3 linked regions of the Diceros bicornis minor genome follow. The protein of the gene in region 2 interacts with the protein of the main gene of each other region in a biochemical or structural test. Links are inferred from orthologs where the notes say so. Each region holds a gene or a part of one and is shown on either strand. Other genes may lie near its edges.

Region 1 (10,408 bases), on a different chromosome or scaffold from region 2:
TTGTAGTCCCAGTCCAGTATTGTGGCCAGCGTAGGGAGAATCAGTGTGAGTGAACTGTGGGGACCAGAGAAAGGCAGCTGAGGGGGACACTTTCTCCAATGTCCAGCAGAGGGCGCCCCTCCACCGCCGGCCTTCGAAAGCTGTTTCTCCCTGGGTGGCCACTTGGGTGTCCCAGGAGAGCCTGGAGATTGGGTGTGGCTCATGGCAGCCCCTAGCCTGTGTGCTCCAGCCTCCTTGGCCCTCTTGTAGAGATATGCCCCCAGGGGATCCACTGAAATGGGAATCATCCACCCAAAGGGATCCAGGGACGAATAATGACTCCTAGTTTACAGTTGAGGAACCTAAGCCTGGCAGTGAAGGAGACCTACCCAGGGTGCCACAGCTGGTGCCGGCTGTCCTGGAGAGGGAGATTCGCCAAGCCCCCGCCCTACACACCCCTCAGGAGACAGTGCCCTGGGGTCCTGGGGATCCCACTGAGGTTCTGATTCTAAGCTGTCCAGAATATTGGCTCAGTCTCCAGGGACTGTTTCCCGGGGAGGTAGGGGCCCTGCAGCAGGGAGCAGGAAGGAGAAGGTGCAGAGAAGTGGTCAGTCTGCAGGGTGGCCCAGGCATCAGCTCAGGTCCCGTCCCTCGTGATGTGAGGGTGGTGGGCTGGGTTGAGCATTGCGCTCCTGGGTACCAGAGCCTGGCTGGTCTTGGAAGACACATCCTCTCTGGAAACCAGGAGAGGAGAGGCTCAGCCAAGGGAGTCTCCCACACTCCTTTGCTCTCCAGGGAGGAGGCTGTGGGCAGCAGGAGGCCTCTGGGAGCCTGGAGGCTGGGCTTCAAGCCGGCCGCCTGCCTCTAGTTCTTGGTTCTCTGCAGGGGCTGGCATATCCCCCCCTACACCCCACACCCCAGTTCCTCCTATACAGAGACGGGCCAGCGGTTGGTGCCAGGGCTATCGCCCAAGCCCATCTGCCCAGTGTTGGGTTGAGGGTCCTGCCCAGGGCCACAGGGCCAGCAGTTTCTAGACTAGCACCCTAGCCGCCCTTACACTCCAGCACTGGGGTATGTGCCTGGGGAGCCCCACAAGGCTCAGCGGGGCCTGCACAGACCAGGGAGTCATGTCATTACCCAGAGCCTGTTCCCTCCCCTTCAAATTGGGGTAATAACATCTCAAGAGGTGGTGCAGCTGGGACGGGAAACCACTACCCGCTAAGCGCTTCCCAGCCACTAAATCTGTCCTCCTCCTCACGGCTCATTGAGTCCTCACAACAACCCTACGATAGGCTACGTGCTGGTATCGCCTTGTATAGATGACTAAATCGAGGCTCAGAGAGGTTAATGTGCCCAAGGCCACACAGCTGGTAGCCCCACACTGTCTGAACCAGCTCTCTTTCTAGCTCATGAAAACAGATGAGAGGGACCCCAGTCATCCTTCCCTCCACCCCGCTCTGTGCTGCCCCGGACACCAGGGCATGGATCCATCTTGTCCTGGCCTCTTGGCCCCTGGTTTCCTTTATTCAACATCTTTTGAACACCTACTGTGTGCTGGGGCCCGCTGGGCTGGGAGCTGTCTGAGGGCAGGGACTGGGTCTTATCTGGTAGTCACCGAGCCCTCTACCGTGTCCTGAGCCCTCTGCTTGGCCCAGGGGACCCAGGGGAGGAGATGTCACTGGCACTTAGTGCATTGAGGAAGCGAATGAAGTGCAGGAAGGGGCAGAGCCTGGGGGTGCTGGCGGAACCCCCCTCTTCACCCCCCCCACACACACAGGAGGCTGGTTCAGCGGGAGAAGAGGCAGCTGCCTTTATTGGGGGCCATGGGCCGGCTGGCTTCACTCAAAGGCCACGCACTTGATCTTGAAGTCGCCGTTGGCTGACAGGTAGTTGATGGCCTCCAGGTTGAGGCGGTTGGGGAACTTGAAGGAGTATCCGTCTGGCAGCTTGATGGTCAGGTCCGCCTGGTCGAAGGAGATGCACACCTGGCGGTGGAGAAGGGCAGTGAGCAGCGTGGACCCCACAGCAGGGGCGACGGCGGCAGGTCACGGGCCCTCCCCGAGCCCTTTCCTCACGCGGCCCTGACCACAGCCCCACTTCACGGGTGAGCTGCTGAGGCTGGGAGAGGGGACAACACTCAGTGGGATCACACAGCAGGTGAGGGGGGAGACAGGAGGGGAGAGGGGGGAAAGGTGGGGAGGGCAGGGTGGGACCTAGGTCTCTGGCCACTAAACCCAGCCCCGCCCCAGTCCCCGCAGCACCCTGCCCCTGGCCCCCAGCCCCAGCCCACCTCCACGACACTCCCGGGCTGGAAGGGGAAGGCCGACTCCCGCTGCTCGGCGCCCCAGGCCCCGCCATCCCTGCTGTTACACACGATGGTGTTGGTGTCCCCGTGCATGTTGAAGCGAGGGTTGAAGTGCAGGCACAGGTTGTCGTTGTCTTTGCCCAGGTTCAGCGCAAAGCTAGGGGCAACAGGTGGGATTGAGGCCTCCTCAGCCCGCTGCAGCCCCCGCGGTCGGCACCGCTCGGTACCCCACTAATACTCCTAGCCAGGAGGACTCCCTTAGCGGGGAGGAGGAAACCTGGATTCTAGTTCTGGCCCTGCCACCTCCTTGTTGTGTGACCTTGAGCAAGTCCCTGCTCCTCTCTGGGTCTCAGTTTCCTCTGCACAATGGGGGCTGCACAAGGCGGCCCTCTTAGAGTCTTGCTGGGCTGACAGCCAAGGCTCTCACAAACATTAGTTTGTGTCCCAGCCCTTTGGGTCAAGGTCGGAGACTCCCTCTAGATGGTGACCTCCGGGAGGGCAAGTGTCCTGTCTGTCCTGTATATCTCTGTACCCCTGGTGCCCGGCATGATGCACGACACACAGTAGGTGCTCAATAACCGTGAGGCAGCGAATGAACAAATAATACTTAATAATACATGTGCCGGGTGGAGATAAGAGCCACGCCCAGCTCCGATGGCTTCCTAAGAATCATATGAACAGCGCACAGGGGGTGTGCAGCTCTTTATCGCGTTATCGGGGTCATCAGCACAGTTATTGAGAAACCCAGCATCTCACTTCCTCTACACAACCACCTCTTGCCCCACTAACTGATTAACACCCAGGATCGGTGTGGTCGGGTGACTGATCCAAGGTCACATGGTTGCTGCTGAATTAATGATGGGTGAAGGAAGGACGAAGGAATGAAAGGTTGAGTGAGTGAGGAACGCAGGAGAGAGGGACCTCAGAGGAGAGCAGGGAGTGACACCCTCCCATCCCCTCTTCCTGTCCCCCGCAGCCTCAGGTCCCGCCCACAGCGGGGGCCGGGGGCCGGGGGGGGGGGGGGGCAGCCAAGGTAGGTGAGGCCGCAGCTGGTTTAGTTTAAGAGGCTCCAGCTGGAGGGAAGGGGGCGACAATGGTGCCCGCGGAGGAATGGTCCAGACCCCGCGGAGGAAGTGACTCATCTGGACAAAGCAGCCTCAGCGGCCGCCGGCTTTAACCCCTTCCCCCTAGGGAGGAGCGAGGCCTGGCGGGCCACGCACCTACCAGATGCGGGGCAGGGCCCTCGGGCTCCGATCCCCCGCCGCCCTGCCTTCGCCCCCTCACCTCTTGGCGTCGGGGGTCACCTCGCCCCGCACTCTGATGCACTCCCCGGGTTTGAGATTCAGGTTGCTGGCGACCAGACCCTGCGCAGACAAGACCACGCCCAGCCGGTCAGAAGACCCTGTCCGGGGTGGGGTGGGGTGGGGCGGAGGTCGTCCCCACCCTGGATCCTCTGACCAGGCCAGCTGGAAGCCTGGAGAACCCGGGTGGCAGTTCTAGCCTCTCTTTCTCTGTGTGGCCCTGGGCAAGTGCCTATTCCTAACCGGGTCGGTTTCCTGTGTGTAACACAACTGAGGTTCTAGAAGCCAAGATCTAGAACTTTGTGCGGTTCAGCTTGGGGATTTTGGATTCAGAGTGGCCTAGGGTGCTATGCCCCATCGCCTCACTTAACAGATGGAGAGAAACCAGATTCAGGGTGAGTCACACTGCGAGTTGGTGGCAAAGCAAGGTAAACGAAGGGGTCTGCTCCTCTGCTGGAGAAGAAGAGGCCTGCAGCTGGGGGATCCCCAACCAGCCCCTTGGAGCCGGCTCCTCTGTGCAGAGAGGTGCAGGGGCTGGGGAGGAGACCCCTAAGGAGCTCTGCACCCTCTGCAGAAGGGGAGAGCCGCCAAGAGCTGGAGTCTGCAGCCTGGCTGGCTCAGGGTTAACAAGATTGAGCCCTGAGCTTAATCAGTGCGAGTGGTTCCTTCTGCCAGAAATTTGAACTCTTTCCCTTGGGGCCTGGAAGATTCTTGCCTCCTTCTCTCTCCCTTAGCTCCTGACCTCCCAGCTTGTGGGAGTGGGTGGTGGGGAATTCCCCCAGCCTTCGCCTGACCGGCCTGGACAGAACCACCCTCCACCCACTAACCCAGGCAGGCCCCCTCCCAGACAGCCTCTCAGATCCTGGCGACTTTTCAGAGCTCTCTAGAGCAGAGGGTGACTCTGCCCTGGCTGGTAACTGGGGACAGCTGCAGGGGGGAGGGGACAGGAGGCTCTTTGGAGTGGAGGAGGAGGGGGAAGGAACAGTGGCCTGGGAGTCATCAAAGTGCCCCCCCCCCAGTTGGCCACACCCTTCCCACTCCCATTTCTCAGAGAGCTGCAGAATGTCAGACCTTGGCAGAAAAAACTGTGCTGTCAGACCCTGGAGGAATCAGAAAATTCTTAAGCCAGAGAAGGCCTTGGGGGACCATGGCGCCCACCCCCATTTTACAGATGCGGCCACTGGGCCCAGAAAAGAAAAGGTACTTGCTCAGGACCACACCGTGGGGACTAGAACCCAGATCCTGATCTGCCCCCACTCTCCCCTGGCTGTCTGCCTCCACCATCCCTGGGCCTTGGGGCGAGGTCCCCACACTCACGCAAGCCATGACTGAGGACTCGAGGATGTTCCTGGGGACTGCGGCACCAGCTGTCTGAAGACTCCACCCGAGAGATGGGCCCTGGGCGGCTCTCGCCCTTTTAACTGGTCCAGACCCTGGTGAGCCCCGCCCCTTGGAAGCTCAGCCAATTGTAAGTCAGGAAAGGGATGGGGGCCACTGGAGGCGGAGTCAATGGAATTCTGAAGCCGGTTCTGGAGCAGAGGTGACCAATCAGAGTGGACACCCCCCCACTCCTTCTTAGTCACTCCTCCAGGGTCCAGGCTCCACCTCCCGTTCTCCTCCATCCCTCCCTACCCCCCCATAAATTGTGCTGTGGTGGGGATTGGGGGAAGCCAATGGAAAATAGTTTGAGGATGAGCTAGGCCCAGGAGTTGGCGGGAAGGGGCCCTGGGGCCAGCAGGCTGAGCTCAGGGGGTACCCAGAGAAGATGGCTGAGGGGGTGCAGGGTCCTTCAGGGAATTCGAGCTGGGGCTCCTGAGGCTGCCCCTGGCAGGGACCAGGGCGTGGCCCGCTCTGCAGACCTCTGCAGAGGCCCAGGACCCATTAACCACAAGGCCCCACCCTGGCCTCCCCCGGAAGCAGGGCTCGTGTCTGCCGCTGTGCTGGGCCCGTGCCAGGCCTGAGGCGGCCGCCAGACTTGGGACTCAGGCCTCGGGCTTCAGCACTTCTGAGGGGCTGGTTGGGGATCCTCCAAGAGCCCCTGCCTGACAGCCTCTGACCTGTCTGAGAGGGTCAGGCCTGGGAGGGGACCCAGGGTGGGCCAGGCCAGGAGGGGTTGGGGGTCCCTGCTCTAGGCACCCCCTGCCCACTCTCCTCACATCTCTGCCTCCAAGGCCAGGCCTTTCCTTTCCCTAACCGGTTAGCAGATATTTTACTGGGCACCTACCGTGTGTCCTGGCCCTGAGCTGGCCTCAGAGGATTCCAAGATGAACCCCTCCCAGTCCCTGCTCAGGTAGCCCATTGCTGGGGCAGAATCTGGCCATGAAACTAACCAAGAACTGGTGTGATGCTGGCTCTAAGGGAAGTCATGAGCAAGCACCACGGTGGGGTGGAGACTGTCCAGAATGTGAAGAAGGCGAGTCTTGAAGGATGAGTGCAGAAGGAGAGACTGGCGTTCCAGCATGGGCAAAGGCTCAGAAATGAGAAAGCACGGGTCTAGGGACTGTGAGCATCGGGGCATGGCTGGAGTTCAGGGTGTGCTGGGGAAAGATGGGGCATGAGGCTGGGAGGCCAGGAGTACCTGGATCATGAAGGGCCTCATTGAGGGGCTTGGACATTGTTTTATCTGAGGGTACTGGGGAACCACAGAAGGTTATAGGGAGGGTGAGTATTGAGGCCAGATTTGGGCTGCAGGGAAGATCAGTGTAGCAACAGAGTTGAAGGTGGGTCAGAGGGGTACTCACCTCGCACCCAGGAACCACTGGGGAGAGGGGCATGGGGAGCACTTGGCGAGGTAGGGGGCTTGCTAGGGGAGTTGTCAATGGGACCTCCTTCTCGTCATTGCCATCCCCCTTCTGAAACTGCCAGCACCGAAGAGGGAGGAAGATGCAGACCAGGAGTGACTCACATCTGGAGGCCAGGCCAGCAAACCAGCCTTGCCCTCCGCTGCCTCCCCAGCCCACCCTCCTCCCGAGGACTGAAGCCCACCCTGGCACAGGAGGAGTGGGGAGTGCACGGGGGGCCACGGGAAGGCCTGGGGAGGAGGCTGGGCCTCACCTCCTGCAAGCCCCTCCCCCCTCCTCCCTTCCCAGCGGGCTGCCTCAGAAACCAACTGTAGCTGCTTCACTTTTCCTCCAGGGCCCCCCCCAAACCTCAGCATAGGCAGGGGCAGGTGGGGCCAGCTCTGCTGCCTTTCCTCCGTGTTCCCCCTCCAAGGGCCCAGACACCCTCTCCATCTGATGGAGAAATGGCGGCATTTCAGCAGGAGTCCTGCCCGGGGACCAGAGGTGCTTCAGGCACAGTCCTCACCCAACTGCCATCAGGTGGGCCTGGCTGGCTGTTCCAGCCCAGAAGTGGGGCTCCCCCGGGGCCCCAAGAGCTGCTCCTCCATTCTTCCCCCAACCTGGAAGACTGGCCCAGCACCAGGAAGTGTTTGCTATTGGATGAGGGGCTGCTTTCTTCCCCTCCAGGGTCCGGCCAGCTGAGGGCTGGTAGAGAGGGGGCATGGCATTGTGAATAGGCCCCCTGGAAAGGCCCCTTTGGGAGTCTGGAGACTTGGATTCTGGTCCTGGCCCTGCCATGCCCTCCCCAGGGCATCCTGGCAAGTTGCCTCTCCCTGCTTGCCTCAGTCTCCCCATCTGTAAATTGGGGAGGTGAAACCCTGCTCTCCTGCACAAGGTTAGTACAGGGTGGAGTTCAGGTCTGTTGTACTCAATAGATGATTGTTTTTTCCACAGTCTTAGAAGGTTTTAGCCTCCCTCTTGTCTGTTTTCCCAGGCTCTCCCACCCTCACCTCATCCCCAACAGTCCCCTCCTGCCTAGGCTGGCAGAGAGTCTCTCCAGATTCTGGGTCCCCTATAACAAGGACTGTGGTTTTCCTGGGGGAGGCAGGGACAAGGTGCACTGTGACCCCACTCCCACCCCGTCCTCAGGGCCTCCTAGTGGTGGCGCCCACTTATCTGCCAGGCCCTGTGCCCGGCGCCGTGCTTTCATACATTATCTCATTTCCTCCTCACCTCCCCGCTGCTTCGTGTCTGCCAACTGGGTTGAACGTCTGCACAGGGAAGCTGTGCAGAAACGAAGCTGACGTTAGAATTGGGAGAAGAGAGGCGAGTCCTAATTTGGGGGTTGCCTGGCTGTGACTGTGGCCAAGGTCCTGGACTTCTCTGAACCGTTTCCAGGCCGGGGAATTGGGAATGTTACCCACTCACCAGCTGGTTGGAAGATTACAAGAGTGATGTGCGGGACTCAGCATTAGTTCTCTCTCCTGTACCCGCCAAGGCCAAGGCCCCCCACCCTGGGGACTCTCCTCCTCTCTCACCGCCCTGCAGCAGAGGCGGCGAGCTCTGTGGAATTCCTCTCTTCTACAGGCTGGTCCTGTGGGCTGGACCTTGGCTGCTGCCGTGAGAAACGAGCTCAGCTCGTTTGGACTGGGGATCCAGGCCCTTCCTAGCCTTCGTCCTCCTGCCCTGCCCGCTCCTGCTCTTTCTCTGTGAAGGCTGCGTCTCCTCCAGCTGGCAGTGGTGGGGAGGGCTGCCAGGCCCACGAGGATACCATCCGCAGCCCCCAGCCGACCTGGCTGGCCTGGCCTGGGAAGGTGGGGGTGATCAGAGCCAGCTCCAGAGTCCTAGAAGTCAGAGCAGGGAGGGACTGCAGAGATACTGCACCTGACCTGCTCCTTCATTTAATGACACAGAAACTAGCAGCAAGAGTGGCCACTTGGCCAAGGTCACACAGGGAGCTAGAGCTGAAGCCCTTTCATCTCCTAAGCCAGGGAAAGCACACTGTGGTCCTGGGGTACCTGGACCTCAAGAACGATCTTTTCTGGATCCTGCTCCATGAAGGGTAGGAAGGACTAGTGGGGGGTGCCCCCAACTTCAGGCACTTTTCCAGCTGGTTTGTGCGAGAGCCCGCCCCCACTTACCTGCTCATCCGTTCTCACCTCTGCCTTTGCTGGTGCTGTCCCCCCTGCCCAGACAGCCTCCTCCTCAAACACAGTGGACCTGTCACTCTCGCCCTCCCACCTGGTGTCTGTCCCCCTTCTGAATACAGGCCGCTGCTTGCCTTTGGGGACCCGCTCTTCCTCTCATATGAGGTCTGGGCGGGGTCCAGACTCTGTCATTCATTAGCCCTCCAGGGCTCAGGCATGAGTCCGTTCTGTTTTTTTTTTTTTAATATTTTCTTTTGAAATAATTATAGACTCACAGGAAACTAAGTGCTTTTTAAGAGCTTAGAAAATATTTGAGACCTGAGGAAAAAAATGTATTGGCTCCAAAATACTAAAATTGCAGAGCTGAAATTCATAAATGTTTACTGTGCTCCAACTTAAAACTTGGTAGTCATAAAAACTGTATTACATTCGAAAACAATTTTGTAGGTTGAATTTACTTACTTTGAAAGTGTCCCACGTATTCCTAGAGGTTGGTCACCCCTAAATTAGATCCCCACAGCCAAATAACGTCTAAAACAAAAGTATAAAAGTACCTTGAGGGGCTGGCCTGGTGGCGCAGCATCTGCTTCGGCGGCCTGGAGTTCGCGGATTCGGATCCCTGGCGTGGACCTACGCACCGCTTGTCAAGCCATGCTGTGGCAGGCATCCCACATATAAAGTAGAGGAAGATGGGCATGGATGTTAGCCCAGGGCCAGTCTTCCTCATCAAAAAGAGGAAGATTGGCAACTGATGTTAGCTCAGAGCTAATCTTCCGCGCACACACACACAAAACTGAAAAATGTGTAACGGGGCTGGCCCGGTGGTGCAAGCGGTTAAGTGAGCGCGCTCTGCTGCGGTGGCCCGGGGTTTGCTGGTTTGGATCCTGGGCGTGCACCAACGCACTGCTTGGCAAGCTATGCTGTGGCGGCATCCCATATAAAGTGGAGGAGGATGGGCATGGATGTTAGCCCAGGGCCAGTCTTCCTCAGCAAAAAAAAAAAAAAAAAAGAGGATTGGCAGATGTTAGCACAGGGCTGATCTCCTCACAAAAAGAAAAGAAAAGAAAAAGTGTAGCAAAAACCCCCACAAACCCCTATATATATATTTAAGGTGGGATATGGATGCATTTTAATGTTTTCTATCATGGGCCTGGGGCCTGTGTTATCAGGAGAGTTTTTGGCTGCAAGTAACAGAAAAATCAACAAATTGCTTTAAAATTAAGGAAAACTTTCGTATAACAAGAAGTCTGGCACTAAGAGGTTTCCAGGACAACTTAATTCAGTGGCTCCATGAAATCATCAAAGATCTGGGTTTCTGTCTGATCAGGGATTGTGGCCGGGGAGACGGTCCATGCTCTTCTGCACAGCCGTAATCCACGATTAGTCCTTGCTTAGGCAGATGAGCTGAAGTATTTGGGATGAACTGTCTTTACATCTGCAATGTACTCTCGAATGAGTTTACAGTTTAAAAATGTAAATATATATCAAGAGCAATTAAGCAAATTGGGCAAATATTAACAACTGGGAATCCAGATGAAGGGCACGTGGGTGTTCATCGTGCTGTTCTTGCGCCTTTTCTGTTGGTTTGGAACTTGTCTAAATTAAAAGTTTAAATTAGAAGGGGAGTGTGACATAATAAGAAATGTATATTTGGTCTCTGACCCCAGTTCCTGACCCAGAGCTCCTAAAACCCTTGTAATTTCCTAGATGCTAGGGTGCCAAGAGCATCTTGTGTTCTAATATTTGGTCTTTGACCCCAGTTCCTGACATAGGGCTTCTAAGTGCCTTGGAATTTCCTGGGTGACAGGAGCGTCTTTTGCTCTAATGAGGTGTCTCCGGGTGGGCTCCTGGATGGCTTCAGCATGAGGGCTGGTCACCAGAAAGACCAAGCCATGA
Region 2 (10,434 bases):
AGCCTCACCAAGAACAGTCACATTTAGTGCACAAAGAGGGAAAAACACCCTGCCAGCCCCCTGGTGCACTAAAGCAGCTCTTTGTCATTCACACTCCTCTCGAGAGCATGTCCACGTATATATGTCGTCTACCAGGTATGAGATGCTGACTATTCGAATGTGGGTTCGGATTTACTATTGTAACATTGTACCAAAATGAATAATTTTTTTAATACAATTCTGTATTGAGTGACACGTTTACAAAACGTGTTCCTTTTTTTTTTAATTTTAAACAAAGTTCATCAATCTCTCATAGAAACAGTGTTGTGAGTTTTTGTTTTGTTTTGTTTTCACCGTTAGAGGACATGAACCTGACAGAGTTGCTCACAGGTCTGCTAACTTTAAATACAACAGGATTTCTGTGTTCAAAAGACTATACTAAGTGCTTATTCAAATCTCGTCACACAAAAGCCAGATTTAGGTCTCTAAGAATCGTAGCCTTCCTTCTCACAGTCTGTCTGCTTCATAGACATCGAATTAGTATCCCACAATTTGTGCATCTTCCCTGTCACTGAATATCTAGATTATTTCCCTTTCTTCAGAATCGCAGCCACTGTGTCAGTGACAATCTTCCTGCACATGGACTTTTCTTTTGGGGGAAATTGTTCCAAGAAGATAAATTCCCAGGAGTGGAGCTCCTGGGCTGAAGGGAACAAACACAGCTGAGCTCCTGAATGAGGTGCCCAAGAGCCCTGTCACCAAAAATCACATCACAGCATGAGCGAGCCAGGCCCGGGAGCTTCACCAGCACAGGGCTTCAGGGTTAGCTCCAGTGCTTGCCAGGGCTAACTGATAGGAATGCCATTTGCATGTCGTAGGTGACGGGCCCTTCCTGGGACTGGCTGCCTGGCAGCATGTCTCAGCTTTGGCAGACCCGGGTACCGGCAGGCCTACCTGGCCCAAAGGCGGCTCTGCCCAGAGCCTCAGTGGCGTTCTCAAAGCCCAGGGCCCGGCAGACAACGTTGGCGTCTGTCAGGTCCCACAGGTTGTCACACACTGTCCCCCACTGGCCTCTGTAGAAGATCTCCACGCGGCCCTCATTGGCGGTGTCCCCATTGGCCAGCCGCATGTCACCATCTTTCACACCTGCAGGGCTCCCGAGGGAAAGCAAAGGTCAGCGGGAGGAAGGTTGGGTGGCTGGGTCTCCATCCAGGCTGGCAGCACTGACCGCCCCACACTTCTGCAGGACTGTGTGCTTTTGTGGGGGCAGTAAAGTTCCCCCCAGCTGGGGTGACCACTGGACAATTAGCTTTAAAGTCCCCCATCCAACCTCGAGGGGGTTGCCCATGGGGGAGGAGTGGAAGATGTGCATAGCCCCCCCAACCAACACATAGAAGGTAAACTTGCCTTGTCTTGTCTTCGAGGTCTCAGCCCTTTGCTCCGTTGATAGAAAAGGGGCAGAAGGGATGCTTGGTGCACAGCACTGAGAGTAGGGGTGCAGGACCCCAGGGAAGAGTGGGGAGGGGGAAGGGGCCCATGCTGATCCCACCTGAGGGTGTCTGGGCCTGGGGGGGCAGCCTGTGCACCACAGCAAGGATTGCTGGGAGGTGTCTGGGGGAATGCCGGGGGGCAGCAGGCCCAGGGACCCCCAGAAACACAGGCACAGAGAGAAAGTGGGGTCCTGGCCCCATATTCGTTCTTCTAGGACTCAGCTCACTGACATCCCCAGCCAGCCCCTCCCGGTGCTGACAGGGTAAGGCAAGAGCTGGGTGCCATGTCAAAGGGCAATTCCCAGTTAGGGGTGCAGCAGGCCACTTGTGGGGTCACTAGGATGAGGAAGGGGCTCCTGGGCCTTGAGGTGTAAAGAGCAGGAGGACAGATGTCTAGGAGTCTGGAAGGCTGACTGTGTCCAAAGGGCACTGACCTCATGACCCCCAGCATTTGGCTTGTCCAATGTGCCCCTCCTACTGCGTCCCTCTGGTTCCCACTAGGTGGAATGGAGAAGCACTTGGTATCCACCTCCAAGACACAATCCACCATGACTCGGGACAACTAGGGTCAAGCAGGAGAGAAGACCCAGGCTGGTCCCGGTGACCCAGGCACTGGACAGCACATTGCCTAGACTTTCTGCAAGGAGAGGGTCAACCCCGTAGAGCTAGGGAGCAGGGGCTTCTCCAACTGTTGCTTCTGGCATTCCCCAGGGCTCGGCTCACCTTGAGTCCCTGTGACCAGCAGCCACATCCAGAGGAGCTGTGGGAGGGCCATGGCCTTGCCTGGGAGCCCCTCGTCCTGCAGCAAGAGGCGGCAGAGTGAGACAGTGGAGCTGGACAGCCCTCAGGACCAGGCCCAGTCTGTCCATCCATCCTTCAGACCCTACTTGTGGAGGACAGCTGGTGGGCGCGGTCCCTGCTCCCGCAGAGCCGTGAGTATGAGGAATGCCCGCTGCTCTGGGCACCCCAGTGGGAGTCCCTCACCTCATCTGAAGGGTGGTCCTCCAAGAACGAGTAAGACTTGCCCAGATGAAGGGGGCGAGCAGGGGGTGTCTCGAGCAGTGAGGACAGTGGAAACAGGAGCCCATCTCAGAAAACAAGGCCCTGGGTGTGGCTGTCAGTGGTGACGGTGAGGAGGATGGAGAGGGAGGAGATGGGAGTGTGCAGGGCCCAGATGAGGAGAGGCCTGGTGAGCCTTGCTAAGCCGTATCTTCAGGCAACGGACCCCTGGGGGAGTGCCCAAGGTCTGCAGCAGATAAAGAACATTCTGGAGTTCTGGACCATGTGAGCCCTGGAAGGGAGGGGAGTGAGAGCAGAGCAGGGGGACACATCAGGAGGAGGCCACAGTAACCCAGGCCAGGAGCGACAGAAGGACAGGCAGCAGTGAGAGATGTCAGGCTTGGTGGGGGGGGTTCAGTGGGGGTGGGGGGGAGAGAGGTCAGAGCTGAGTGCTGAGTCTCTGTGCAGCTGGTTGGGGGGGTGGGGGCTAGACTGGGGCTACCGGGACCAGGATGGGGAGGAAATGCTGAGTGGGCTCGGTGTGGACCTGGCGCTGCCACCTGTGAGGTCAGTGTCCCCAAGAAACAGAAGCTTGAAGAGGCTGGGGCCACCAAGGCCACACAGCCATCTGGTGTGGGGGAACCCAGGTCTCCCAGGTTTTGCCTGGAGTCCTCGCCTCTCTGTAACTCTTGCTGCTTGCTCTTCCTCTTCATTCCCACCCTGCCCCTCACCTGCCTCCCTCCCCCCGTATCCCGGACCTGGAAGAGCCAGTCATTGTTTCTCTGGCTCAGTAAGAATCCTGTGACCGTCCCCACCCCCCGAGGTCCAGCAAGTGGGGGATGAGGCCGCTGTTGTGAGAGTCCCTACAAGTCAGGGCTGGTCACCTTGAAGCAGCACCCTAGTTCTGCATTAACAAGACCCCTGGGCTCCTAGGCACACTGATCTGTTAACTGGCCTTGAATGGGCATCCCCTGTGCCAGGGCTGCTCACACGCACCAGCTCAGGGAACCCTTACCACGACCCCTGAGAAAGGCCTTGTTAACCCTACCTGACAAGTGAAGGAGCTGAAGCCCAGAGAGGTAACTGGCTCCGCATCACACAGCTGGTAAGCGCAGGTTGGGGCCTGCATTGCATTGAGCTCAGCAGATGGCTGGAGGGGCCAGGGTGACCACCATCCAGTGTGCCAGGGACTGTGCCGGTTTTAGCACTGGAAGTCCTGCGTCCTGGGACATGCTGTCAGTCCCAGGCAAACCAGGATGGTTGGTCAACCTCTACACTCCCTGGAGAGCCGCTGCCACCGGGTTTGTTTGTCCTGGGACAGGAACTCAGGGTCCTGGAAGATGGCCAATCAGATACCTGGTGCACGGCATGCAAATGTCGCTGCCCTTGGGATGGCAGGGGCCACCTGTTATTGCCTGACTCCCTCATATGGGAAGTTGGATGGGGCTGCCCTTGACCCATACGGTGCCTTTGTGCCAATTAGAAAAAGGGGCTCTTCCTTCGGGTGAAGGGAGGCCTGGGCCAGAATGCACAGACAGGTGAGAGGGCCGTGGGCTGAATTCCAAGACTTTTTGCCCCTTTGGCTGGTGTCCCTTTGCAGTGAACAACCTGCACAACTGTACACAGAGGCCCTACAGATCTGGGAGAAGCAATGATGGTCCCTGGGCTCAGGAGGAGCACCAGATCCCCAGCTGGGTGGTGCAAACAGGGAGACTTGGCCCCCACTAGATGATGCTGTGTAGAGAGAGCAAGAGGCCTGAGCTTACCTGCCAGAGGCAACTGCTCATGGTGGTCCTGGGCCTCCCACCTCCTGCTGCAGGAGCCCTCTGCAGACTGTCCTTCAACCCAGAAAACCCTCCCAGTGCAGAGCGTGGTCAGGCTGGTCCCTTCAGGAAATGCTTCAGAAAACTGATTCTAGTTTCGATTTTCAGAAACCACGTGACAGATTTCTCCTGGGGCTGGCTGCTGACAAGGCTCCCTGGCGCCCCCCTCCTTCCTCTCATCCCTGACTGTGGGTGTCGGGGATGGCAGCAGCCCAAGGCAGCCGTCCGGCTGACTCGATAACCAGAGCACGACAGCTGACAGCCACATTTGAATTTAAACCCTCTTCCAAGCTGGACCAGCGCCAGGGGCTGGCATCGGGGAGGGGAGGGGAGGGGTGGGGAAGCAGGGGACAGCAAGAAGAGCAGAGGGTGGGCACAGACAGGCCGGGTCTGCATCCAGTGACCGAGGGGTCTTAGTATATGCTCCGATCTGTTTCCTGGTCTCACACATTGCCACAGGGTGGACAGCGCTGGAGTGGCCACTCATTCCCAAGTCCACCCTACTCTAAGCACCTGACATGCCTGACCTCACAGAAAGGGCCACACCCCGCGAAGCTGCACAGTGTCGTCCCCCTTAATGGGGGAGGGAGACCCTGAGACATGAGACAACATCCCCAGAGTATGCCACCCACCCCAATAATGGTCATTCTCCCGGCGTCTCACCCCCAGTGGGGCAGGAGACAGAACCTCTGGAGTGGACATAAATTGTTCTACCCACCTCACCCCCATTCTCTGTCCTCCAGCAGAAAGCCAGCACCTCGATTTTTCCTTGGAGAAGCCCTCCTCTCTCACTCCCAGACCGTGTGGTTCTGAGGGCCCCAGGCTGCCCTGGGATCTGACCAGGGCCTGGCTGATCAGAGCCCTGTGGGCCCCTTGGCCACACAATGGTGTCAGGGACAGGCCGTGATCCCAGCCAGCCCAGCGAGAGTCGGCCTCACACTCATGGAGAGCGACCCCATGGGGGCATGTGGCCTGGAGCTACTGTGCCGTGTGCCCCAGCCTGTGCCCGAGGAAAGCCCAGCTGAGGCAGCAGGTGGGGCAGAGCTGCGAGATGGAGGAAACTAGGTTCCTGGGTCCAGCTGGCCTGAAGCCAAGGTCAAGCCTGGGGCTTCACAGTTAAATGAGGCAATCAACGCCCTCTGTTTCTGTCACTGGCATCCCAAGGTTCTGGACGAGGGTTATCCCTTTGTAATGTCCCCAGGTCTCTCTAACCCAGTGGCTGTCGACCTGGTCTGCATGTGAGAATCATCCAGAAGTTTTACAAACTCCCAGTGCCCAGACCCATTAAGTCACAACCTCTGGGTGGGGACAGACATTGGCATTTAAAAGCCTTCCAGGTGGCTCCAACGTGCAGCCAGGGCTGAGAACCACCGGGTGAGACACACTGGCAGCCTGCAGTCCAAGAGGGCGAGCGCCCAGGTCAAACATTCAATGAATATTTGCCCAAGAAGTGAGGTTTTGGGGGACTCCACAGTTCATCTAGTCCCCTCCAAAGAAACTAAAGATGCAGGGGGCGAGGCAGCTAGAAATAGAACTGGCAAAACAAGACACTGGAGTGAGTTTTAAAATCCCATCCAGATCAAGAGCCTCAGTTCTCGCTGACACAGGAACTCCAGCATTGTCACTTCTTATGGTCTCCGTTGATTTTATCTCAAATAAGTGGCCAGTCAAGGCCTGGAATGCAGAGGAAGTCCTTTGGCAGGTGGTGGTGGAAATGTTTAAAAACTCAAGTTGCTGAATCTTTAGCCAAGAGTCCTGGAAAGTCCTTCAGGTCCAGGCAAATAAAATGTAAGATGGAGGCCTCAGCACAGCATCACAGCACAGTATCTGCTCCCCAGGCTCTCAAGGCTGTTCCAGCCTTAGGTTCCCATAAAGGGAACGTGGAACGGGAGCTTGAAATGATCTGCTCCAGAGAGGAGGGGCTCAGTTCTGATAGAGAGACTGGGAAAGTCCCGGACACTGCAAACAATTGGGCCCAACTGTGACAGTGTGGACGATGCTGCTGTAATCTGGAAGCCACTGCCAAGACGTGGCAGGGAGAGTGCTGGGGGCTTTCAGAGACAGAACTCTTAGCTGGTTTACAAGATATTTTTTGTGCCTCTACTCAACCTCCCCTGCAGAATACAGGAACATTACCTATAATGCTAATATTGATGCAGCCAGGCACTATTCTAAACCTGTGACATGAACTGACCCATTTAATACTCCCAACCACTATGGGAAGTTGCTGCTCTTATTAACCCCTTTTATAGATGAGAAAACAGAGGCACAGAGAGGTGAAATCTGCCCAAAGTCACACAGCTGGAAGGGAGAGAGCTGGGATTCAAACCCACACACTTCTCTCTCTCTTTTTTTTAATTGGCTTGAAATATAATTTACACACAGTAAAATGCATCAATTTAATGAGTTTTGATAAATGTATACAGATGGTAACCATGACCATCATAATATACAGAACATTTTCATCATCCCCAAATGTTCTCTTCCGTCTCTTTGCAGTCAGTCCCCTCCACCAGCCCCGACCCTGGCAACCACCGATCTGCTTATTGCCATGCAGCTTTCCCTATTCTAGAATTTCATAAAAAGGGAAACATACTGTATGTAATCTTTTGTAAGCTTTTGAGATTCATTCCATCACTGTGAATATCAGTAATTGGTTCATTTTTTTGCTGAGTAGTAGTCCACTGTATGGAAAGACTATAATTTGTTTACGCATTTATGCATTGGCGGACATTTGGGTCGTTCCCAGTTTTTGATTATTATGAATAAAGCTGTTAGGAACATTTGGAGACAAGTCACACAAGTCTTTACGTGAACGTAAGTTTTTATTTTTTGTGTGTAAATACCTATAGATAGGATTACTGGGTCATATGGTAGATGTAGATTTAACTGTTTAAGAAAATGTCAACCTGTTTTCCAAAGTGGCTGAACCATTTTGCATTCCTACTAGCAATTTTATCACCCTTCCAGTGACTCTAAATCCTCACCAATGCTTGGGATTGCCAGCTTTTTAATTTTATCCATTCTAGTGGGTATATAGTGGAATCTCATTGTGGTTTTAATGACTACTGATGTTGAGCATCTTTTCATATGCTTATTTGTCATTCGTACATCCTCTTTGGTGAAGCGTCTATTTAAATCTTATGCACATTTTAAATTGGGTTGTTTATCTTATTACTGAGTTGTATAAGTTCTTTATATATCCCGATACAAGTCCTTTAGCAGATATATGATTTGCAAATTTTGTTTTGTTTTGTGTTCTGAAGAGCAAACGTTTTGAATTTGGTTAAAGATCAATTTATTATTCTTTTGGTGTCATATCTAAGAAATCTTTGCCTAACAAAGATTTTCTCCTATGTCGTCATCTTCTAGGAGTTTCGTCGTTTCAGCTCTTACATTTAGGTCTATGATCTATTCTGAGTTAACTTTGTGTATGATGGGAGATAAGGGTTTCAATCATTTATTTCCATACAGATTAGACTTGTCTCAACACCACTTATGGAGACAATCTGTTTCCCACTGAATAGCCCTGGTACCTTTGTCAAAAATCAACTGACCACATACATATGGGTCTGTTTCTGGACCCTCTTCTGTTTCATTGATTTATATGTCTATGTTTCTTATGCCAATATTACAGTTTTGATTACTTATAGCCTTATATTAACTCTTGGAGTCAGATAGTATAAGTCCTTCAACTTTGTTTTTCTTTCTCAAAATTGAGTCTTCCCATCTGTGAAGACAGTATATTGTTTCACTTGAGTCTCCTTTAATTTCTTTCATCAGTGTTTTGTAGTTTCAGCATACAGATCTTTCACGTTTTGTTAGATTTATATCTATTTCACGTTTTTTGGTGCTACTGTAAATGACACTGTATTTAAAAATTTCCATTTCCAATTGTTCACTGCAGCTATATAGAAATAAAATTAATCTCTATATGTGGACTGTGTATCCTGCAGCTTTGTTAAACTCAACTGTTAGTTCTAACAGTTATTTTTGAAGATTTCTGAGGCTTTTCTACCTAGTTGGTCTTGCCATTAGCAAACAAAGATAGTTTTACTCTTTCTTTTCCAATCTTTATGACTTTCCTCTTTCTTGCCTAATTGCACTCTCTGGGACCTCCAATAAGATGGTTGGTGAATAAAAGTGATGACAGCAATGCCAGTTTCCTGGGCTGTATAATTGTGCTATGGTAACATAAGGTGTTACCACTGGAGAAAGCTGTGTGAAGGGAACATAGCAACACTATACTTCTAGGTGGTTTAAAATAATTTCAAGATAAAAAGTTTAGTGGGGGAGAAAATACTGGTGAAAGCAGACATTCTTGACTTGTTCCCAGACTTAGGAGGAAAACATTCAGTCTTTCACAGTGAAGTAGGATGTTAGCTGTATGTTTTTCACAGATGCCCTTTATCAGGTTAAAGAAGTTCCTTTTATTCCTAGTTGGCTAAGAGTTTGTTTTGTTTTTGTTTCATTTTTTTTTAAATCATGAGTGGGTGTTGGATTTTGCCAAATGCTTTTTCTGTATCTTTTGATATGATCATATGGTTTCCTCTTTAGTCCGTTAATATGCTGAATTACATCGATTGATTTTAGAATATTAAACCAACCTTGCATTCTGGGCAGAAACCACACTTTGTCATGAAGTGTTTTCATTTTTCTATATTGCTGGATTCAACTTGCTAAATTTTTGCTAAGGATTTTTGCATCTATGTTCATGAGGGATACTGGTCTGTATTTTTTTTTTTCTTGTAAACATTTGTCTGGTTTTGGTATCAGGGTAGTGCTGCCCTCATAAAATGAGCTGGGAAGTGTTCCCAATTCCCCAAATCATGGAAGATTTTGTGTTGGTTTGTATTATTTTTTCCTTAAATGTTTGGTACAATTCACCAGTGAAGCCATCTGGGCCTGGAATTTTCTTTGTGTGAAGGCATTTTATTTTTGCTTTATTTAAATCTTTTAACAATTTTATTAAGGTATAAGTTACCTTAACATTTACCAATTTAAAGTGCATAAGAGGACAGAATTAACATTTGGAAAGAAACTGATCTCATTTTTTCCACTAAGTCCCGAGATGACTTTTGGGAGTTTCTTTTTGCTGACGAGTTGCACACTGGACACACAAGAGTGCCACACAGGCACGAGTCACTGCCTGCGTGAGTCCAGCCATCAGGACCTCTTAAAGAGAGGCTCAAGACCTGATTTTCAGTTCCTTGCCCCTCCACTTGCAGTTCCTCACCTCGTTCCCGCCTCGCCTAAGGCGCTCTGGCTTCTCCCCCTCCCCCTCCTGGAACTGCCCTCACGAGGATCGCCAAGAACACCGAGTCCTCCTTGTTTCTCGGTCCCTGGCTACTCTCCAGACCTTCTTACTGACGGCCCTGCAGTGTGTGATGGTTGACTCTCCTCCCTGGCTGCACTGCTCAGGTTCCCAGCAGGAAACAGATGGCTCCAAATGTGGATAATCTACAGAGGCTTGAAGAAAAGGGCTATTTACTAGGTGTGCATGAGCAGGGAATAAGGACACCACAGGGGGTAGTGTGGGATCTGCAGCTAGGACCACTCCCAGGCCAGAAGGGACAAAGGCAGGGAGTGGTTACTGGAGCCCAGGCTGGGAGAGAGTGGGTAGAGGGAGCTGCCCTGTAAGACAGTGCAGGACCAACCCTGCAGGAGGGAATCAGGGACTCCCAGCTCATCCCCTCCCTCCTGCCAGTCAGGGGTCAATCCCAGAGGGTTCAAGAGGTTCACGCAGGTCAGGCCCTGGGGACACAGAGCGGGCTGGGGATGGGACAAAAGATGTGGGCACTGGCTTTCATGACACCACACTCTCTTGGTTTCCTCCTTCTCCAGGTTAAGCCTCTCTTCTTTACTAGTCCCCTCCTTTCCCGTTGTTCCTGGGGTTTCATGTTAGGACTTCTTAGGACCCTGCATGTCCTTTGGCATGGTCTCATTTGCTCCTGCAGATTCATCAGACACACTAATGACACCCAGATCAGTCAGCCCTCTCACCCGAGCCCCACCTCATCACCAAATCTTCCAGATATCTCCACTTGGTGAGCCACAACAACAGAATGGGTGCATGCTAACTAGGCATCAGGCAAGACCCTTATGTGTGTGAACTCATTTACCATTCCCAACAGCTCTATTGT
Region 3 (9,835 bases), on a different chromosome or scaffold from region 2:
TTATTTTTTTTTTGGAGGAAGATTGGCCCTGCACTAACATCTGTTGCCAATCTTCCTCTTTTTCTTTTTTCTCCCCAAAGCCCCAATACCTAGTTGTATATTCTAGTTGTAGGTCCTCCTAGTTTTTCTATATGGGACGCCGCCTTAGCATGGCCTCATGAGCGGTGAGTAGGTCCGCGCCCAGGATCCCAACCAGCGAACCCCGGCCCCGAAGCTGAACGCGCGAACTTAACGCCATGGGGCCAGCCCCAGTGGATATATTTTAAGAACCCGTCTTAGACACCTTTAACCATTTCACTCACCTATTACCCAGTTAAATGATACCAAATAAATATCACCTTTCTCGCAAGCATCGCTATTTGTCGTAACAACCTTTCTTAGAAATGTAGCTTGGTCTTATTCCTGCCTTTACCAGAGGTGCTTTTGTATTTAATTATTCCTTTCTTCATCAGGATTCTCTCCAATCTTTGAGAAAACAGACAGATTTTCTAGGAAGTAATTCATTATTTCGTTCATTCGTTCATGAAACAAACAGTTACTGAGAACCTAGTAGGCACTCAGCACTGGGCGGGTGCTGAGGATGCGGTGGAGAGCAGACAGCAAAACAATGCAGGGCTCTGAGTCTGAGCGTTGTGAACCTACATCTCAATTCAAAAGGGGAAGGCACGCGAGGCCCAGAACAGGGGAGCCCCTCAGCCGGCATCTCAGAAACTTCACAGGTCACTGGGCGCTTCTTGGGGAGGCTTCGGTGCCGAGAGAGGGTTTAGGTCAAGTAAATGCAGAAGGGATGCGAGTGCCTGCGATTCGAGCAGAAAATCGGTAAGCACGGTTAAAGCGAGCAAGCAAAGCTCCCTCAAGAAGCGCGCACGGAAACCTTCGCGGACTCGCCTGTCTCCGTCCGAGGAGTCAGCAGGGGAACCTGGAGAGAGGGCGGAGAACGCGACACACCCCCGGCGTCCCCCCTCCCCGCCAGGAGCGCCTGCCCCGCGCGCGGAGCCGCGGCGCCCGGCTGTCCGGCGGGGAGGGGCCGGGGTGCGGGGGCGGCCCCGCCCCGGGAGAGGCGGGCCGGGCCGGGCCGGGCGGGGTATTAGAGGCGCGGAGCCGCCGCCCCGTCCGGGACCGCAGCACCTCGCAGGAGCCGCCCGGAGCGAGCGAGCCAGCGAGTGCCAGGGCGGGGTGAGGGGCGCGGGGCGCCGGGCCGGGGCCGGGCACGGGGTCGGGGCTGGGGCCGGGCACGGGCGGCTCCCCCCCTGCAGGGCGAGGCGCCCGGGCGCGGCTCGGAGCGCGGCCTTCTCTGGGGGGCTCTGCGGCGCCTGAGGAGGGGGCTTGGTCTCTTGGGGTCAGGGGGGCGGGCGCGCGCGGAGAGCCGGGGGCAGGGCGGTGGGCGCCTTCAGGGCAGGGGTCCAGAGCCCTTGAGCCCCCGAGAGAGGAGTCTGAGACCCGGGGAAAGTTAGCGACGCCTTACGGAACCTCACGCACGTCGTGGGGCGGGCGGGGGTCTGCGGCCGCGGGCACAGGGCCCCTCTGCGCCACCGGGAGCCCCGGCCGCGCCCCGCCTCCGCCGCTCGGCCGCCGCCGGTGGGCGGTGGGTGGGCGCGCTCGTCCGACCCAGCGGCCGCTACAGCTGGGTGTTAGGAGCCAGGTCCCCTTCCCCAGGACACGGGGGTTCCGCCAAGGCCTCTACAGGGCGCTCCTTTGACCCGTGACCTGGCTGCCCCGCCCCTTGGTCTTGCCGTGGGGCGCCGACGAGTTCTCCTCCCAGGCCCGGCCGGCAGCGTCAGGGCCTGCAGCCGCTCGCTGGATGCCGATCCCACGAGAATGGTGCTGCCCCAAGGCCTCGGTGGGCATGTGTCCGGCTTGGCAAAGACCGCAGACCCTAAGCTTTTGCAAATCAGTGACTCGTCTCTGCCCAGACTGGCTAATTTGGGTTTAAGGATCCCAGATCTGAGCGGAGGATGTCTAGAGTGTGAGGGAATGTTGATCCGAGTGTGCAGAGCTCTAGGGGGTTTGCGGGGGGGGCGGGGGGGTGCTGTTAAACCGTGCTCCAGGATTTATTCTGAATTATCAGTTGCTCAAATAAAACACTACAATGCACCCACTCTGAGGAGCAGGAGCTCAATGCCAGGGAGTCGGGAACACAGGGGTGGAGGCTGTGACTTTGGCTTTCAGGCCGGCCCCTTCAAGTTAGCGATTCCTAGTCCAGACACTGTATAGGAATATTTGTAAGGTGACTCCTGGGAGTTGGGTTGCTGGACAATGAGGACAGTTGGACCTCCGTGACCCAGTCTGTTTCTAGAATTCTGGGAAAGAATGGAAGACAGTCTCAGTTAATTCTGAAGAAAATGATAGCAATAAAAATTGACCACTTGGGCACAGAGCATGAGAGAATTTTCACCAACTTCCAAAATTCTGACTCATTTGCCTCAAGTTTATAAAGTTTACCTTTTGTATGGGGAAATTGTGTTTCCATAAAAGTTAAAACTTAATACTAAAAATTAATTTTTTCACAACAGTCTCCTCTTCAGACATTGACTTTGAATCCCTAGAGTCCAGTCTTGATCCCTTGGATGGTTGTGCCTCATCCTTGATCTTTGGGAGATGGGAGCTGCTTCCCAAATTCATAACATTTGGGGGTTGTACTCAGAATCAGCACTTACTCCAAATTCTGGGGAAAAGTTTGATGATGGTCCTTGAATGTTTTGAGCTTAGAAGTATTAGGAAGATGCCTCACCAGGTTACATAAGTAGCAGAAGAGGGGGAGTACTGCCTGACAGACTGACCCCAAAGCTAGTTATTTGAATGGGATAGGCAAGTCTTGCTCTGTTGAGGGGTCCTTATTGATATCTCACTGTGCTACAAATATTCATAGGTTCGTTATGAAGACTTTTCACTTATGGCTACTGAGGTCAGAAGGCCAATGTTGGTCTCACCTATAATTTACGTACCTATTTCCCTAGAACCCTCGTCAGCCAGACTCTAAATACTGACTGCAGCGGAGACCTATATTCATATAGTATAACTTGAGAACCTCATGTTGACCTTAATACCAACTGGCTTGTCACCTTAATGTACCTGAGACTCAGGGTGACTGATCTGAAACATGGCCTCTTTCCTGCAGTGGTTTGGGACGGGGCCTCCTGCTGAGGGTCACTTGGGAACGTGCTATTTGGTGCCAGAACTGGTTCTTCTCAGGAGATGCTGAGGAGTGTGCCTGCCAGGGCAGTGCTTGCTGTCTACTTCCAATTTGCTGCTAAGTATCACGTGTTCTCTCTTGACTGATGTTCAGCTTTTCCCTGGGGAAAAAATCAGTAACTGAGAGGCACAAAGTAGCTTTACCTTCCTTGATGCTGAGGAATTATAATGAGAAAGAAATCCTAGTAAAGGACCAGTTTCCTTTATTCCAACTCAGCATCACTGAATTTGGCTTTGGGAAGTGGACTTTCCTCAAGCCCCGCTCCGTGTTTCAGCAGGGCCAGGGAGCAGACGGCGTCTCCTGTGTCCTTTGGAGAGCAGTGTGGGCAGTGCCTTGGGGTTCTCCGGAAATACCTTCAGGATCTGCTTACCCTACAGCTCGGATAAAGGTCAGGGCCCTTTGTGAGCAGAAATTTCACAAGTGCTCCTGGGAAGCTGGGGAACTGGATTAATTGCTAGGTGGGCCCTAGAATAACATAGTACACTGGACAGCCACTCTTTATCAAGGGGAAAAGCTACAATTAACAGCCGATTAAAATGGTCTACATTCTGCCTCGTGTTTAAATTCCATATTCCAAAGTGATACTGGAACTACTTTCTTCCTGTAGGTTTTTCCAAATGTGAAGACCCAGGTAGTATTTTATTTCCTCTATTTTTCTTTGTCTTTGATGTAATGTTTCTTTTCTGGCTCTTCAAAAGTCTCTGATTCTGGAAATGCCAGGACAGAGTTCACATATCTATAGTATCCGTAGAGTGTGGAAATTTTTTACATTTGATTGTCTCTCTCTGCATAAGCTACTCATCTAAAAGAAAGAAAGAAAGAAAGAAATTTTCCAGGCAAGTAAGGCAGTTATTTATCCAAATAGATTTTTTTTAAGTTCTAAAGTTGCTAACCTTGATTTCAAAAGAGCATTGGTTATAACCCTTTTCAAAAAAGAGATCTGATGGTCGGGAGTTGACCTAATCAAAACAGTGCATACCCAATTTTTGGAAAAATACATTTTATTGGTTTAAATGTGGTTGTAATTAGCACAGTGACTGTGCAAAATGGCACCCTTGTCTTCAATATCACTGCACACTGTGTGTCATCCAGCTAGTTTTCTGACAAAAACATGATCTCTTTTTTAATTTGTTTACAATTGCATATATGTAGTTCTGAATGAATAAGCCAGGCGATTAATTTCTAAATGAAGTAATTAACACTTTCAAAGAATTTTACTTTAAAATTTCAAAGTGTGAGGTTTTCTATTGGTGTAAAATGAGCCTGGAGTAGGAGTCAGGATGCTTGGGCCCTGGTCCTTGGCCCACCAATGACACAACGACTTAGGGCCACCACGTTAGCTCTCTGTGTCTCGGTTTTCTCCTCTCTAGAGTGGGCATATTAACTCTCCCCTGTCAGTCTGATGAAATCATATCAGAATCAAAACAGGTATGTCAAAGTGCTCTGTAAACTGAAAAGCACCACACAAATGCAGGGTGTTCATATTCTAAGGGGCTTGTCTAATGTGTCACAACACAGTCCAAAGTGTCATCCGAGGTGTTGTGTGAAACACAGTGGAAATAAAGTGAAATCTGCTTTGTTTCTCAAATTGTTTTGCTCGGGTTGGAAAATAAACTGAATAAACTCGAGCAGAGACTTTGAAAAGAATAAATGTTGAATTTTGGAAATGCTGTCTTTACGTGAGTCTGGGTGTAATCAGCTTTTAAACACATCTTAGTCTGCTCTGAGTCATGTTGCTGGGACCCTTGATGAGGCTGTGGGGCAGAGTTAGCTAGGGTTGACAATCGGCACTCCTTGTGCATGTGCCCACCTGTGTGCGCATTCACGTGGGGACGCACGGCAGCTGAGACCAGGGTTCTCACCAGGCGGTGTTTTGCCCTCTCCCCCTCCTCCAGGGATATTTGGCAAGGTCTTAAAACATTTTTGATTGTCGCAATTGAGGCAGGGCTGTCGGGCTACAGGCACCTTCTGTGTTGAAATCAGGGATGCTGCTCAACATCCTGTAACGCACAGGACAGCGCCCACAACAAAGTGTCCGGCCTGAAACGTCAGTGGTGCTGAGGCTGGGAAGCAGCCCTACACAGTGGGGTGTTTGTGTTTAAAACAAGTCAGAACACTCATCAAGTTCTTGCTGGGTCTTGGGTATGCTGCCCAGGGGTGGAAGAAGAGTTTGTCTAGTCAAAGGAACCCAGCTCTCTGCCCCGTGTGAAGGTCGAGATTGTTTCCTACTGGTGTCCACAATGAGTGAGGCTTTTACTGTCTTGATTGAAGAAATGTCTTTCCTCTTCCTTTTCTGTAACTGCTCTGCTCTCAAGTTCCTCTGCGGCCGCAGCACATTCTCTGGGCGTGTCAGCCTTTGGGGGGAGGAAGCACAAGCAGAGGAGCACCGGACTCTTGCTTGAAAAGGTCAAATACTATAGGAAATACAGTGAATATGAGCCCGGAAGAGTCCCTGTGACTTCCCAGTCAAGTTGCCAGCAGTTTCCCACCTGGGAAGATGGGCACAGTGATAACCTAACTGCTTCCAAATATGTTTGAGAATGCCCAAGTTAAAAAAGAGATGTGCAAAAAGAAATTAGTGGAAAGTAATATTTAACTGTGATCTAAGTCACAGCAGAGTAGGATAAAATATCTGGTGTGTGTAAATGAAGCACACATTAAGTCCTAGAAGGAGCTCTACCTGTTTGAGTTTCTACCAAAAAATCTAATGTTTTACATTTTTAGGACCTATCCGGTAGTTGCCATTTATTGGATCCCTTGGGAAAATGTCATTTCTTAACATAATTGAGTAAATTTCACAAGTGAGTAACTCAAGGAAAAAGAGATTCTGATTGTTTAAGGTCCAGGGAATTTTGGCCATAGCACAGGTGATCATGAGCTGAGAAAACTCACCCAGCCTCGGGAGTCTGAAGCAGCCCCCTCCCCTCACTGCTGGAGTGTCTCCCATGGGAGCAGGTGTGAAACATCGTGTGTGCGGTTAGGGACTTGGCACAGGGGGAGCAGCAGGAGAAAGCAAGAGTGATGTCTCAAGGCCACCCCATGAGGCAGCTTTGGGCAAGGCCAACCCTTTTTGGTAGCATCCTACCCCAAAATATTTTCTCCACATTGCCTGACTTTTTGTTTTTAACCTTATTTGTTATACTGCCATAGAGTTCATTTGCAGTAACAAGTATCTTCAAAAAAAAAAAAACAAAAAACAAGCACCTTATGCCCACTTTTCTTCTTCATTTCTCCACATCCCAATCTCAGCTTTCCTCTAAATCTTAGCTCAAACAGCACTTCCCTTTTAGAAGTAATTGATCCAGTTGTCACTTTCCACGACATGCGGTCTGACTCACAGCATTGATCACTTGTGGTCCCTGGGGCCTGTGGGCCCTTGGACCGTGTGGATCTTGACCTGTCCCTCCTCACACGCAGATAGGAGCCTGCACAGTGCCTGGCCCAGAGCAGGCGTAAATGTGTGCAAATGAAGGAATAAATAATCGGCAGCAATTACTTCTTGCGGGGGTGGGTGGCATGTCTTTCAAATCTCAGCGGGAATAGACCAACTCTGCTTTCCTCCTAAAACCCAGACATGGACCAGTTTGTGGGGCTGGGAGGGGAGGTGGCGATATCAACACGCTGAACCCTTTGTAAGAGGTGGTGGAGCGGCCGTCCCGGCGGCGCAAGCAGTTAAGTGCATGCGCTCTGCTGCAGCGGCCGGCAGTTCGCCGGTTCGGATCCCGGGCGCGCACCGACGCACTGCTCGTTGAGCCATGCTGTGGCAGCGTCCCATATAAAGTGGAGGAAGATGGGCACAGATGTTAGCCCAGGGCCAGTCTTCCTCAGCAAAAAAAGAGGGGGATTGGCAGATGTTAGCTCAGGGCTGATCTCCTCACACACACGAAAAATAAATAAAAATAAGAAAAAAATAAGACGTGGTGGAAAAGAGCACAGGAAGGCAGGTGAAGGAGGACCAAAGATAAATGCAAGACATTTGTTATTTGTTACTGAGGGATGGGGCAGAATGTTTTCTTCCTTATTCTCCTCCTTCCTGCGTTGTATGGCCTGTTACTCCCAGGATTTGGAACACAGGCTCGTGTGGTTAGAGTTTAAAGTTATGAGCTAAATGGGGCTCGGTGATCCAGCTGGAGTGCCTGCTGCCCTTTGACAAGACACTCTTGTGGTTCCACACTATTGATATAGGCGTATTTGGGGAATGGACTGGCTTGGGTTAGAAGAATGCCTGTAGGTTGACTAGAACTGCACAATGAACTATTTGTGATGTTAAATTTATATGGAAACCGGTGAAATCTTTTAGGATCATGTGATAACATCTTTTTTTTTTCTCCTCTCAGGAAAATGGCAGACGGTTTTTCGGTAAGCGTTTGATGTCTGTTTTCCTGCCCTAATATACATTCCACATAGGTTGAGGTTTGTTTTTTTTTACCACGAGACTTTCCTGCTAGCTCTCCCACCATGTGGCTTCCGCTGGCCTCACGTTTCCAGTCAGGGCTTGTTAGCTGGAGTTTTGTTTTCTAGCCACAGATTCAGGAAGGAAGCCAGGCCGAGAGAGGCCTGGGACTCACTAACAGTGGTAACCCCTTCACCTGGGACAGAAGCAGGTGGAGGCCACCGGAAGGAGCCGAGAAATAAACTGAGCAACAGGAAATGTGGTGCAGGCTGAGCGTCCTGCTGTCTGTGATTGTACATAACATGTGCTAGAAAGTATGTGCTTTTACAGAGGACAGCTCGCTCCCTACTTTAGCAAATTATGAAAATGCAACCCTCCATGATCTGAGTTGATGAGAGCTGAGAATGAAGTGATAAAGCATGTGTAATCCCAAAGTCTAATTTTAATCTTAGGAACTCAAAACTATTTATCAGTGGAAAAAGTTTTTTGATGTGAATTTCATATCTTCACCATATCCCTCTACTTCTTAGATCACATATTTCTCTTTTCCTAAAAATTCTGTTTTTGTGAATGTTTTTCATTCTGTAATTGTTTATGTCTCTCTTTTCAGCTTAATGATGCCTTACCTGGGTCTGGAAACCCAAACCCTCAAGGATGGCCTGGTCCATGGGGAAACCAGCCTGCTGGGGCAGGGGGCTACCCAGGGGCCTCCTATCCTGGGGCCTACCCTGGACAGGCACCTCCTGGCCCCTACCCTGGCTCAACAACACCTGCTTATCCTGGACCAAATGCATCAGGAGCCTACCCTGGGCAACCAGGTGGGCCTGGGGCCTACCCACCTCCTGGACCACCAGGTGGGCCTGGGGCCTACCCGCCTCCTGGACCACCACATGCTCCTGGAGCCTACCCTGCTGCCGGCCCCTATGGCGTTCCTGCCGGACCACTGGTAGGATGGAGTTAGTCATTCCATATACTTGATTGAGAGCAGGACAAAGCTAATGAAGAATGCAGCAATTGCCTGGACTGGTGGTGCCAGCACTTTGCAGTGCTCTGGCTGGGGGCTGGCTCTGGCACTGACCTGCAGAGGGCTTCAGGGAGACTGAAGCTTTAAACTCATGGCTTAAAGCCACTTTTTCAAGGACCAGCCATGGTGTATGTTGGTCCAATAGAAAAAATAGTTGTTTGTACTGAGTTTAGTATGTGTACTGTTAGTATAAAGAGAAGCAAATGCATCTTTTGAAGGCATCTGTAAAGCAGCTTTAGTATAAATCAAGTTAAAATCATAGTAATGGGGGAAGTTTTGGCCATTATTATTAATAAACACTGAGTACATAACACATGCCAGCAGTGTGCTTCTACACGGATGAGCTCAGGTATCCTATAACCACCCCCTAAGATGGTATTATTATCCCCATCTTCCACGGTGGGGATGGAGCAATCCAGAGTTCTATAACTTGCCCAGGGTCATGGAGGGAACATGTGGGGGAACCAAGGCGATCTAGTTTTAAAAAACGTTCTAAAGATTATTTTGCGATCTAAGGATTGAATTTTCATTTATATTAAAACACACTTTAGTAAATGAATTCTAAGTGTAAAACCTAACTCTGGGAGGCGCCAGACACGTCTCAGACAGATCCTTCCCTTTCAGATGTCTAGCCTAGTTGGGAGGTAGATGCAGACACGAGGAAAGAGTTCCATAACAGTGTGGGTCAGACCCTTTCAGGACTATGGAGAAGACGGCACGGGTAGCATCAGCGCAAAGAAAGCGTTGGGGGTGTGGGTGGCGTTGAGCAGGGCCTAGAGCACAGGTTAGTCAGGTGCAGACAGAGTGGGACACGGAGGCTGTGGAAAGGAAGATGCAGATGTGGGAGAGCTTGCAGAGGAAGAACCCCAGGATCTAGTGGGGAAGTCGTAGGAGTCAGAGACGACTCTGGCTTTTCAATGCTGGACAACTAGAGCACCAGCCAAGGGTCAGTCCAAACTGGGAACTCAGGAAGGAGACCTGAAGGGGGCGAGACGGGGGAGACAATTCCAGTTCCCGCCTGTTGGATTTGCGGCACCGGGAGCAAATCACGGCAGGAGGAAGTACAGGACTAGCACAGATCAGGGCTAGAGAGAAAAGACTTGGGTGATAGTTGAACCCAGGGGGAAATTATAAAGGGAAAAGAGAAGAGGCCAAAGAGAGCTCTGGGAGTATTCACAGCACCTGGAACACAGAGGGTCAATAAATATTTGCAGAATGAACTAGG

The links.
Region 1: the proteins of LGALS3BP (region 2) and LGALS1 form a complex in vitro, tested with the Homo sapiens proteins (2 studies listed by BioGRID). The link is inferred for Diceros bicornis minor from reciprocal best matches to the Homo sapiens genes LGALS3BP and LGALS1.
Region 3: the proteins of LGALS3BP (region 2) and LGALS3 form a complex in vitro, tested with the Homo sapiens proteins (4 studies listed by BioGRID). The link is inferred for Diceros bicornis minor from reciprocal best matches to the Homo sapiens genes LGALS3BP and LGALS3.

The regions. Positions count from the first base shown.
Region 1 is NC_080764.1:12,072,369-12,082,776, forward strand, and holds LGALS1 (galectin-1), read right to left. Parts: upstream 5,009-10,408; 5' UTR 4,912-5,008; coding exon 4,903-4,911; intron 3,649-4,902; coding exon 3,569-3,648; intron 2,442-3,568; coding exon 2,270-2,441; intron 1,965-2,269; coding exon 1,818-1,964; 3' UTR 1,765-1,817; downstream 1-1,764. UniProt on the Homo sapiens protein: Lectin that binds beta-galactoside and a wide array of complex carbohydrates. Plays a role in regulating apoptosis, cell proliferation and cell differentiation. Inhibits CD45 protein phosphatase activity and therefore the dephosphorylation of Lyn kinase.
Region 2 is NC_080757.1:58,721,277-58,731,710, forward strand, and holds the start of LGALS3BP (galectin-3-binding protein), read right to left. Parts: upstream 4,359-10,434; 5' UTR 4,256-4,358; coding exon 4,235-4,255; intron 2,269-4,234; coding exon 2,193-2,268; intron 1,126-2,192; coding exon 934-1,125; intron 1-933.
Region 3 is NC_080763.1:5,216,844-5,226,678, forward strand, and holds the start of LGALS3 (galectin-3), read left to right. Parts: upstream 1-5,584; 5' UTR 5,585-7,534; coding exon 7,535-7,552; intron 7,553-8,196; coding exon 8,197-8,532; intron 8,533-9,835. UniProt on the Homo sapiens protein: Galactose-specific lectin which binds IgE. May mediate with the alpha-3, beta-1 integrin the stimulation by CSPG4 of endothelial cells migration.